Linked DNA regions of Ovis aries. The protein of the gene in region 3 interacts with the protein of the main gene of each other region in a biochemical or structural test. Links are inferred from orthologs where the notes say so. Each region holds a gene or a part of one and is shown on either strand. Other genes may lie near its edges. The genes, in order: DRAP1, AHR and TBP.

Evidence for each region.
Region 1: the proteins of TBP (region 3) and DRAP1 are reported together in a solved structure, tested with the Homo sapiens proteins (2 studies listed by BioGRID, with this or other methods). The link is inferred for Ovis aries from reciprocal best matches to the Homo sapiens genes TBP and DRAP1.
Region 2: the proteins of TBP (region 3) and AHR form a complex in vitro, tested with the Homo sapiens proteins (2 studies listed by BioGRID). The link is inferred for Ovis aries from reciprocal best matches to the Homo sapiens genes TBP and AHR.

What each region holds. Positions count from the first base shown.
Region 1 is NC_056074.1:40,464,063-40,467,696, reverse strand, and holds DRAP1 (dr1-associated corepressor), read right to left. Parts: upstream 2,712-3,634; 5' UTR 2,580-2,711; coding exon 2,538-2,579; intron 2,295-2,537; coding exon 2,222-2,294; intron 2,114-2,221; coding exon 2,020-2,113; intron 1,748-2,019; coding exon 1,628-1,747; intron 1,508-1,627; coding exon 1,414-1,507; intron 1,206-1,413; coding exon 1,117-1,205; intron 787-1,116; coding exon 681-786; 3' UTR 569-680; downstream 1-568. Other genes in the region: C21H11orf68 (UPF0696 protein C11orf68 homolog), read left to right, coding at 2,983-3,104. UniProt on the Homo sapiens protein: The association of the DR1/DRAP1 heterodimer with TBP results in a functional repression of both activated and basal transcription of class II genes.
Region 2 is NC_056057.1:26,779,386-26,783,132, forward strand, and holds the start of AHR (aryl hydrocarbon receptor), read left to right. Parts: upstream 1-1,324; 5' UTR 1,325-1,936; coding exon 1,937-2,001; intron 2,002-3,747. UniProt on the Homo sapiens protein: Ligand-activated transcription factor that enables cells to adapt to changing conditions by sensing compounds from the environment, diet, microbiome and cellular metabolism, and which plays important roles in development, immunity and cancer.
Region 3 is NC_056061.1:91,748,220-91,751,866, reverse strand, and holds part of TBP (TATA-box-binding protein), read right to left. Parts: coding exon 3,576-3,647; intron 2,880-3,575; coding exon 2,712-2,879; intron 1,341-2,711; coding exon 1,246-1,340; intron 564-1,245; coding exon 484-563; 3' UTR 1-483. UniProt on the Homo sapiens protein: The TFIID basal transcription factor complex plays a major role in the initiation of RNA polymerase II (Pol II)-dependent transcription.

The DNA.
Region 1 (3,634 bases), on a different chromosome or scaffold from region 3:
CACTCCACACCTCCCGCCTGCCTCACCAAGCTGCTTCTCCTGGAAGACACATGTCTGCCTCGTGCGCATAGCTCCAGGGTCTGCTCAGAGTCACTGCCTGCTCACCAGCCAGCCTTCATGGGGCCCCCACCACACCACCTACCTCTGCCCCCACTGCCCCTCCTCATGTCCTTTAAGGCAAGTGGCCCAAGCTCTAGTTTCCCAGACTCATTTCTGTTACCTGTCCCTTTGCAGCAACCCAGAGTGAACAGAATGGTCTACATCAGAGAGCCAAGAAGAAGTCATTCAGAGAAGAGGAACCTACCCACGGACACACAGCACCATGAGACAGGCTGTCCCCCAGCATGACCGGCACCAGCTGGCTCAGACCCTCTGCCGCTCTGACCGGCCTTCCTTCCATTGGCACCCCTGGCCCTGCGCTGGCAGAACTGTGGCCTCCAGCCCCCCCTCTTCAGTCAGCTGCTGCCCAGCCCCCCGGGGCTCTGGGTCCCAGCTCAGCATCAGGAAGGAGGTGGAAGGAGAGAAGGAGGCCACAAACCCTGGACAAAAACCGGGACAGACGTGAGTGTTCCCTTTTGTTATTATTTTATTAATAAATTTAAGAACAGCTCTATGGTCTCTCTTCCCCCCAGAGCAACTAAAACAAACTAAAGGGGGTGTGGCCTGGGGGGCAGAGGGCGCTAGGAGTCATAATCCTCTTCTTCCTCTGCGTCAGGTGCTGAGGGGCCCGGGGGTGCTGGGGGCAGAGGCAGGGTCGAGGTGAAGGGCATGAAGGGTGTCGGGGGGCTGCAGGGGAGAAAGCAGTAAAGAAAGATCAGGCCACTCTCTGGTGCCCATCCCCACCCACTCAGCCCCACCTGGGCATCCCCGGAGCCCACTACCCTCTGTACCAACAGGGAGCAAGCCCAGAGAACGGAAGGACCCAGGGCAGGTCACACAGCCCCACCTAGCAGAAGAGGACCTTCTGAGAGTACAGTCCCCAGCCTTGAAGTCCTTCTTAGTTCTTCCCCTACCATCCCCCCAGTCTGCCATGACCAACAAAACCAAGTGGCTAGGGAGGCCAGGAGGGAGGCCAGAGTCAGTCTTGGGGTCAGTGGGCCCCTTGGTGCCACTTACCTCTGAAAGTGGGCAGGGGGGTGGCTGGCCTGGGGTGGGACCTGTGGTGTCTCCTCTTCTCCGTCACTGTCTGTATCCTCAGACTCATCCTGAGAACAAGGCAGGACTTAGAGACTAGAAGGGCAGGGCCCCATCACTGGAAAGCAGGGACAGGAGGCTGACCTCACTAACCCCAATTTACAAAGAAACCAATACAAAGGTCACAGGTGAGGGACCAGGCCCCCAGCCAGCTCATCCTGGCCTGGTATAGGGCTGCCCTGTCCACCCTATGGGCCAGAAGCCTAGGGCCTCACTCACCTCCTGCTCTGAGTCCGTCCCTGACAGCTTCTTGTCCTTGCCTTTGCTTCCCATCCCACCGTTCTTCCGGCCACTGCTGCCTGGCTTCCGGCCCCTTCGGGAAGGTACAGTACATCTGCCCACAGGTCTCCCCACTCCTTCACCACTCCCCAGCCATCCCCAAGTCCAGGGGCCTTGGCCTTCCCCACCTGGACACTGGTCCCTGGCACCCTACCTGCGGGGACCCTTGTCCCCATCCATGTGGTTGTCTTCTCCATCCCCCTGCATGTCAGGCACAGATGCCACCAGGTCCTTCAAGAAGTCAAACTGCTGCTCCAGCTCAATGCACTGTTTCCTGGAAGAAGTGGGAAGGGGTTGGCACTCGGATGAGGCCCAGACATCTGGGCCCTCAACAAGGGACAGTACGGACTCTGTGGATGTCAGGGGAATGGAACCTGGAAAATTTCCACCCCAACCCTCCCCCTTGGCCAGAACATCCTAATCCTCCTCCTCAAATCCACAGATCTCACAGCAGCCTACCAATTCCTTATCAGGGCACAGCCTCCCCCAGGCGTGTGAACTGGAGGAAGACCCCCAACTGGGCCCTCTAGGATCGGAGCCACTCACAGGTGGGATGTAGTCATGGTCTTGGCGTTTCGGGACTGGGTAACTTGGCATGCTTTCTTCAACAGAGACTCCAAGAAAAGCTCGAGCGCCCGAGCTGAGGAGGGTCAAGGAGAACGCAGGGTGGTGGCCCAGTCCACAAAAAGCGACCCCGGGGCTGCCGGGCTCCCCCACTCCCCCATCCCGACAGCTCCCGACAGGATACAGATGATGACAGGCACGGCCGCCGCCACCTTCCCAATCTCTTCATCCGTCTGCATGATCTTCTTGATTCGTGCCTGGGGAGGGGGCAGACAGCTCGGACCCCGTAGCCTCCGTCCCAGAAAGGGTGCTTAAGCCGGGCAGAGAGAGGGAGCATCCCGGGAGAAAGGGGGCGGGGGGCACCCACGCTGGAAGGGCACGGAAGGGGGCGGGGCGTACGGGGCCCCGAACACGGCGATGCGCCCGCCTCCCTAGTCCGGCCTGGGCCGGAGCTTCCCGAGAGCCCGGCCCGTTCCTCTGGGGCCCGCTCACGTGCTCACCGGCGGGAACCGCGCGTTGTACTTCTTCTTCTTGCTCGGCATCTCGGGGCCTCTCCCGCCGCGCCGGACCCAGCGCCGCCGCCCGCAGCCTCCCGGCACCCGGGCCTGCTCTTAGCCCGTCCGCCGCGGTTCCCCCGGGTCCTGGTGCCGCCGGCTCCGCCCCCAACGCTTCCTACAGGGTCCTAGCGCCGCCGGTCAGGACGCCGCCGGCAGGGCCCGAGCGCCCTCCCCCTTAGAGCCTCCCGGGCTTTGCGCGTCCGTCCGGGGCGGAACCGCCACTCCCGCCCGCCCCCAAGACCTGAAGAGCGAACGTTAGCTCCGCCCCCCAAGGCCCGCCCCTCCTCGCCTTCCCTGATGGCCCCGCCCCCATGGCCCCGCCCCTTCCCGGCCCCGCCCTGTGCTGCGTTTGTCTATAAAGTTCTTGTTGAGGCGCCGGGGTACTAAGATGGCGGCGGCGGCGGCAGCCGTGGCGGGGGCGGGGCGCGGCGGTGGCAGCGGCGCAGATCCCCGGCAGGAACGGAGCCGGGCCCGGGGCTGGCCCGGCGCCGAGCGCAGCGAAGGCCGGAGGTGACGCTGGGGTTGGCGGGAGGGGGCAGGACGGGGGCGCAGCTCGGGCCGTGGGCACTAATGGCGGCGGGCGCGGCGGGGCGGGAGGCAGGCTCTCCTGCAGCCTCTATCCAGCCGGGGTTCGAGTCCAGGCACCGCCCCGTTGGTCTCGGATCGGACACTGCCCGTTTCTCGCCTCAGTGCCCTCGTCTTTAAGTAGGTTGGATAACGCTCGCCCGGAGGCCTGGCCCCATGGGCCCTGCCTCGGTGCGGCGAGGACGTGTGCTTTGCCTCCCTCCATTAAATCCCAGCGCCCGGGAGAGCGGCCAGGCTCTGGCAGGGCCAGGAGGCGTAGCTGGGCCGGCGGTTCCCGCATTTGAATTGCCGTTTCGGCCCTATCACTCACTGAAGGTGTGACCTGCAGTGAGCCCCTTCTCTCTGAGCTTCGGTTTCCTCGTTTGTAGGTCAAGGAGAGCAGTAATAACACTAACTACATTTATATAGCTTTTGTTCCACCTCAGGCGGTTAATTCTGCACAACTGCTTGAGGCA
Region 2 (3,747 bases), on a different chromosome or scaffold from region 3:
AAATGATAAAGCATTTGAGTTGGGCATTTTTTGTGTTATTATTGAAGAATAACGTGGCAGAAGATGAATTAGGGATGTTGCAATACACAAAATTAAATAGTATTTGTTGGAATATTTAGATGTAAGTTGTAGAAGAGTTGAAGATATTTCATAGGGTTGATAGGATAATGGTTGAGTATATGACAGTGAGGTTTCAGCTAAAGAAAACAATGTTCAATTTATTGATGTTCTGAATGTGAGGTAACAAACTCACCGGATGGAAATGGCTTGATGACATTTTGAAATGTAGGAATGGACATGGTGCCAGATTTCATCTAGACTTCTTAGTCTGATTGCCCTTCTCCTGACAAGCAAAACACACTCCTGTGTTTACTTTTCTGGGTAAAGGCACAGGAGTAGTCAGAAATGTTGGAGGTACTTGAGATTGCTCTCTCTTGTTTGTCTATTTCCTTATTATCTGCTCTTTTTCCCCTCCATCCCACTGTCACTTCCCTGGACTTTCACCTGGACTACTTCAACAACTCTAACTACTCTCTCGGCATCCAGTCTTTTTCTCCTGTAATCCAGCTTGCACTGTCATTTAAAACTTCCAAAACACTAGAATGTCTCTTGCCTGCTGTGGATCATTCAAAGGTTTCCACTGACTGCAGAATAATATGTGGACTCTTGATCAGGCTTTATGATTTGACCCTAGATTCCTGGATTTCACTTCCAGCTTCTCTCTCTCCAGCTATACCAGACTGCTTATTCTCAAATGCCTCCTGCTGCCTGCCTTCCCACCTTCCTGAAATCTGACTGTAGTGTAACAGTTATTCTGCCTGGGGAAAAGATACTATACTGTCTTGTACGGAGACAAAAATCAAACTCAAAACAAAAAGACAAGAAAAATGCCTAGCCTTCAAGTTCAACTGAGATGTGGCCTCCTGAAGCCTTCTCCTCTAGGAAGATTTATAGTTCCACAGGTTATCTGCCAGCTCACTGTAATGCTTAGCCAAAAGTTGGCTGACTCACTGTCTCTTGCAAAGGTGAATTTAAGCTCACTACTTGGCATTTCTTTCCTTGAGGTTGTCTGATTACAAAGACTTTGGCTACACATAATTTGTCGTCACATGTCTTTATGGACTGGAAATGTGTCCACAGATTCCTCCCCTTGACCTCAAGAAGATGGCTACTGGAGAGGGTGGGGGTCATTACGCCTTACGTCATCACGTGCCGGGAGGGTGGGGCCCTCAAGGGAAATATAGCGGAGGGCGGGGCCAAGTAGGATGGGGCGGGGCTACGAGGGGCGGGGCGGGGCTGGAGAGGGGTCGGGGGCGCTTCTGCTATTCAGCCGGTGCAAGCAGCAGCGGGAGGCATCGCAGGGCGAGTCCACTTGACGCTAGGTTCTGAAAGCGTGACTGGGACCACCGGCTCAGACCAGAGGTAGCCGCATAGCCGAGCGGAAGCTGGTGGCACCCGTAGCAGCGGCCGGAGTCCGAGCTCCGCAGGCGGGAAGCACCCGGGATCGGGGAAATCCCGGGAGCAGCGCAGCGCGGCGGCGCCTCCCTCACCCAAGGGGCCGCAGCGACGGTCACGGGGCGCGCCGCCACAGCGAGCGACCCAGGCCGGGATTTCAAACAGACAGCCCAGGCTCCTCCTCCATTCGCGCCGCCTCACCTGCGGGCAGCGCGGCGCCGCCTCAGCTGGTACAGACGGCACCTGCGCCTCCAGCCTCCCCGGTCTCCGCCCCTCGCCCCTCGGCGCCAGGCCCGGGCCGCGCACCTGGACGTGCGGGGCTGCAGAAGCCCTGCGGCTCCTGGGGTGCTGTGTCTCCGCCATCGCCCCGGGAGGGCGCAGGTGGAGCAGCCGCGGTTAAGTGGAACCCCGTCCCAGTTGCCGCCGGGTCCCGGGGACAGGGCCGTCCGCGCCCGGGAGGAGCCGCAGCCAGCCAGGCACCATGAACAGCAGCAGCGCTAACATCACCTACGCCAGTCGTAAGCGGCGGAAGCCGGTGCAGAAAACGTGAGTCTCCGGAGCCTGTCCTCTGTGCTGTGGGGAGGTGGGCGCTCAGGCGCGGGACACTGCCGCACCCCGCCCCCAAATCCCCGAGGCCAGGGGATTAGGTCCCTTCCCTGTGCAGTCTGTGGAATCGAGATCTGGAGGCCGGTCGAGAACCCCAGGCCTTGGATTTTTCCGTGATTAATGATTGCATTTTAAAAATTGTGCCCCCCGTTCTCTGCCCCCCCCCCCGAACCCCTTCTCCAGAGCACCCTTTCACACCTCCAGCCATTTGCAGCGCTGTTCACTGTGCTGTGGTCCTAATTTGTTAACAGCTCTCCTCTGCCCTGTGGGGCTGGTGGATTAGTTAACCTAAGCCCGTCTTGAAATCCCCTTTCACATTTAATATCCTCCTCTGTTAGGTTAGAGGACGGTCACCATTCTTACTCCTGGTAGGGCGAGATGCTTTAAATAGCTAAACACGTGCTGTGTGCAAGAAAGGGGCTGAGTGCCTCTGAAGGTATTTTTTGGTTCCCTGAAACTGGCTTTCTGTTATACTCTTATTTACTTATTTGGCAGTAATTTTGTAGCGCTCAGCGTGAACATATCAATAAAATGTATAGAGGTGATAGCAGCTTTGAGTGAGTGTAGTAGCCAGGATACAGTAGAAGATTTGTATTTTAAGTCATCTTTTGGGGGAGATTTATCACTTTGGAAGTGGTTTTAGGGTCTGCAAATAATTTGGAGATGGAATTATTGAAACAGACATTTTCATTCTTAGCATCATTCTCTTAATTCCCTTTTCCCTCTACTTCAAAGTTTGGTCAATTCTGATAAAGTACAAACTTAGGTTTGTTTGTTTTGGTGGGATATTTATGTGATTATGGCAAATACTTTAATTTTTTTCAGAAAAAAAAAAGAAAAATCCATGCTTAACACAGATTTACTTTTTCGAGTTGGCAATGTTCATGTGTTTATTCCTAATTATTATCCTTGAGTTATTTTACTTCACATTTTTCAAACTTTCATAAACAATTTTAAGAACACTTTAAACGGTTACTCAGAACAAATCACAAGTGTGCATGTGGCTTAAGACTAAATTTAGGTCACTAATCCAAACCAGAAAAATAGCAGTTTAAAATTAATATTAAAGACCAGTTTAAAGGTTTCAGTATTCTGGGGTTTTAATTTCCTTTTAGAATTTCAGTGATTGCAGTCCTTCAGATTTAGACTTGGCATCAACAGAGGATATTCATCTATAAATAGACTGATTAAAATTTGGAAGACTTATCCTGCAGCGTGGTTGACATTAGGAATACTGTCAAGTCAGCAGTTTTTATCTTGGCAATTCTGTTGACATTGGTTTACAATACTTGTGTTTTATAGAATGGTTTCTTATAAAAAATGTGCTTGTCTAATTTGACTTGGTCCTTGATGGTTATTTAAAATTGAAAGGCATCACAGACACCTCTGTGTATTTTAGTTAATACAAAAGTACACTTGACATAATGTATAATATATATATGTATATCATAGGTTTTATTTGTATAGTTAGAAAACCTGAGAATTTTAAGTTATTGCATTTCAGGAAGTATGTTACACAGGACCTAGGTGACTTCAATGAAATGCTCTAATTTTTGTATTCATTTTAAAGTTTAACATTTGGGGCTTCTTGTTACCATTTTATTAAAGATTTTCCCTGTAAATATATTATTGCACATTTTCTTTTTTTTAAGGATGTACCTTTTATTATTAGCAATTAAATATGCT
Region 3 (3,647 bases):
TGAAAAGGCGGAATGTGTCTGGCACAAAAATAACCCTCAGGAGTTACAAATTAGAAAACAACACTTTTAAAAAAGAGTTTTACTTTTCTGGTAGAAATATAAAAACTGTGGTTTATGGGGAAGAAATTAAACAAAATAAAGTCCAATCAATTGTTGAGGTGGCTTTAACACTTAGTTTTGTCCCTTAAACCAACTTGTCAACAGCAGTAAGTGTTTAAAATCTAAATATAAATAACAGGCAGCACTGCCCGTGTAGCAGCACAGTTTGAGCCACTTACAGGGACGCTCTGGTGTTCTCTGTGCAGAAACACCACCCCTCCGGCACCCCATGGGGGCACGCGTGGAAGAGCTCCACCTGGTGCTGCACCCTGCAACCAGACGCCCATCCTCTACCACGTGGGGCCGCCCACACCACCGAGTGAACCAAAACCGACTGGTTTAAAGGAAAAGGTGGGTGGGGGAGGCAGGAGAACACAGCAGCCATTACGTCGTCTTCCTGAAGCCCTTCAGAATAGGGTAGATGTTCTCAAAGGCTTCATAAATTTCTGCTCTGACTTTAGCACCTACGAAGACAAGTGGAGTACAAGAGTCTGAAATGGCGTTTCTTAACAAAACCACAAAGGCACAATTCTCTCCATGTCCAGTAAGACAGATGCAGGCATCAAAACATTCACAATGGGATCCCTTGCCACCATCATATTTTTGTTTTTAAAGTGGCATTTTCTTAATTTGGCTTTTTGAAAAAAGAATTACCAAAGCAACAAGACAGATGACTGCACCTCCCATGCCTAGTCTGCCCACATGGCAGCTGCTGTCTCTGCACCAGGGCAGGGCCCAGCAGGGCAGCGGTTGGCAGTGACAGAGGTCCATTCTCTCAACTGCCGCTTTCAGCCAAGCCTTTTTGCATCTTCTTTTGTTGAGGCAAAATGATAATGCTGAGGGAAACCAAAGTCTTAGACGATGGTACCCAACTTAAAACACCATCTATTATGCAATGTAATGCTCACCTCCACCCCTCCCCGCCAAGGTGATGCTTCCGTCAGCAAGGCTGTGATCTGACTTTCCTCAGCTCACCACCTCTGGTGGATGTTCCCCGTCAGTGTTGAGGAAGAGAGAAAAGCGGCAAAGCTTCTCTGCAAGTCACTAATTAGCTGTCCCAACACTGTGATATTACTTCCAAGTACTGAGAAAATGCCACTCTCGACACTTTCAAAACTTCAACCACTACTTTCTGTTACAACTTACCTGTTAATACAACTTTTCCAGAAACAAAAATAAGGAGAACAATTCTCGGTTTGATCATTCTGTAGATTAAACCAGGAAATAACTCCGGCTCATAACTAGAAGGAAAATAGCAACAACAGTTTGGATTAGCAGCTGCTCATGCCTTTAGAAAACACGAGGACCTGACCAAGGGAAAGCACTGGGCTAGCCACAAACTAAGGAGGGGGTGAAGCCCAGTTCTGCAAGCAGCATTTGGCCAGTGAGGCTGACCTGTCACTAGCACTTGAAGACCAACTAATTCTGTTTCTAATGAATCTGGATTTCCTGACATAAGAACAAGAGTTTTATAAATGTGTTCTGTAGTCTCTGATCTTTTATCAAGTTTCATTCTGGACAAGTTTATATCAACTTAAAAGAGCCCAGTAATTATCCATCTATAAGATCTGCCAGTCACACAGTTGATTTTCTAATCATTCACATCGCATCTCCTTAAAGTGAAATATCTTCTAGCTGCTACGTTTGCTCAGGCAATTTAACCAAAGTGCCAGAAAAGACACTGGTTGGAGACTGAACCTTGCCCTGTTTTATCTGATTAAATGCACTATTGGTACGATTTTGTTCTAACCCTAGTAATCTCACTTTGTTAGATGGAAAACAGGATGTATGACCGTGTTTAACTTACTGGAAAATTCAAGGCAGGCTTCTCTGAGGAAGGGAGACGCTGGGATGGATACATGAAATGCCAGTGGGAGTTTCTTAGGTAAAAAGTGACAGAAGAGTGTGCCAGGGATAAAAGTGGGATGTGCAAGGGTCCTGGTGCAAGAGGGACATGATAAGCCATGGGGCTGCTGTGAGCAGACAGGCTGTGAGAGGTGATCAAGGACCACCTGCCTTTGAAGTCTTCTTCAGGAAGTAGAACAAAAGACTCAAACAACTGGGGGGAAAACTGATACAAGAGGTTGTGGGTTTCATTTGTTCATTTAAAATGTATTTATTGAGCAATAAAATGATGAAACATACAGAAGGGAATCAATTTCATGCCAGTAAAGGGGAGTTCTGGGTGTCACTGAGTTACAAGATAGAGAAGTAGGAGGCTGGTGAGCACAGTAGGTACTACCAAAGAAATCGGGAAGACACTTCAGCAATAAATGTACCTATCAGTGTATCATTTGTTCTTACTAATTATTCAATGGAAAAGACTCTGATGCTGGGAGGGATTGGGGGCAGGAGGAGAAGGGGACGACAGAGGATGAGATGGCTGGATGGCATCACCGACTTGATGGACGTGAGTCTGAGTGGACTCCGGGAGTTGGACAGGGAGGCCTGGCATGCTGCAATTCACGGGGTCGCAAAGAGTCGGATACGACTGAGCGACTGAACTGAACTGAACTGATTATTCTGCTTAAGTTTTACCATGAACAATGTTTAAATAGATCATAACTTTAAATTGTTGACAAAAGCAACCACCCCATGTATTTCAGACTTACCTACTGAATTGTTGGTGGGTTAGCACAAGGCCTTCTAACCTTATAGGGAACTTCACATCACAGCTCCCCACCATGTTCTGAATCTTGAAGTCCAGGAACTTAGCTGGAAAGCCCAACTTCTGTACAACTCTGGCATACTTTCTTGCTGCTAGTCTAGACTGTTCTTCACTAGGGAAGAAAAAGCGAGCTATTCATTCTCAAAGACAGCTGACGCAATTATTTAGACGAGAGAAACTTTCCCACGTCCTTGACAGAAAACTGCAGGCCTACCAAAACGAGTACCTTTCAAGTCACCAAATTATTGATAGCCCCAGATTTCATGGATATGAAGTATAATATCAGCATCACCATTATCATGAATATTGCTGTATTTAAGCCCACAAATTTGTACTAAGATAAAAACCAACAAGCGTCACTTTGATAGGAAAATACTGATGAGATTTATGCTCAAAGAATGTATACACTAATTCCTCTTTTATGGTATGTCCTTCTTTATCCATTCCTAGAACTGACTTGTTGGATAAAATATGACTTAGCAGTGCAGGGCTTCTGTAACAAAAGCAGAATGAAAGCCGTAGCATCATTGTTGACAAAAGGCTATCAAGTGCACAGTCACGAATGCCGAAAGTCTGGCACGTACACACGCTGAGTTACACAGAAATAAGGTTGGAACACACGTCCTAAACTAACGCCTATTGTTAAGAAAATGAAGCCGCCACTGTCTAAGGTGATGAGAATCAACTACTTTAATACGAAAGCAACAGTAACACTGTGTCTGCATTAAAGCAGCAGCCTAGCCCTAGATGCCATGGCACAGCCGTCTCTGTAACATGCAGGCCTGGACAAGGAGCTCCTCTAACCCACCTCTTGGCTCCCGTGCACACCATCTTCCCAGAGCTGAATATCAGTGCGGTGGTGCGGGGCTCTCTTATTCTC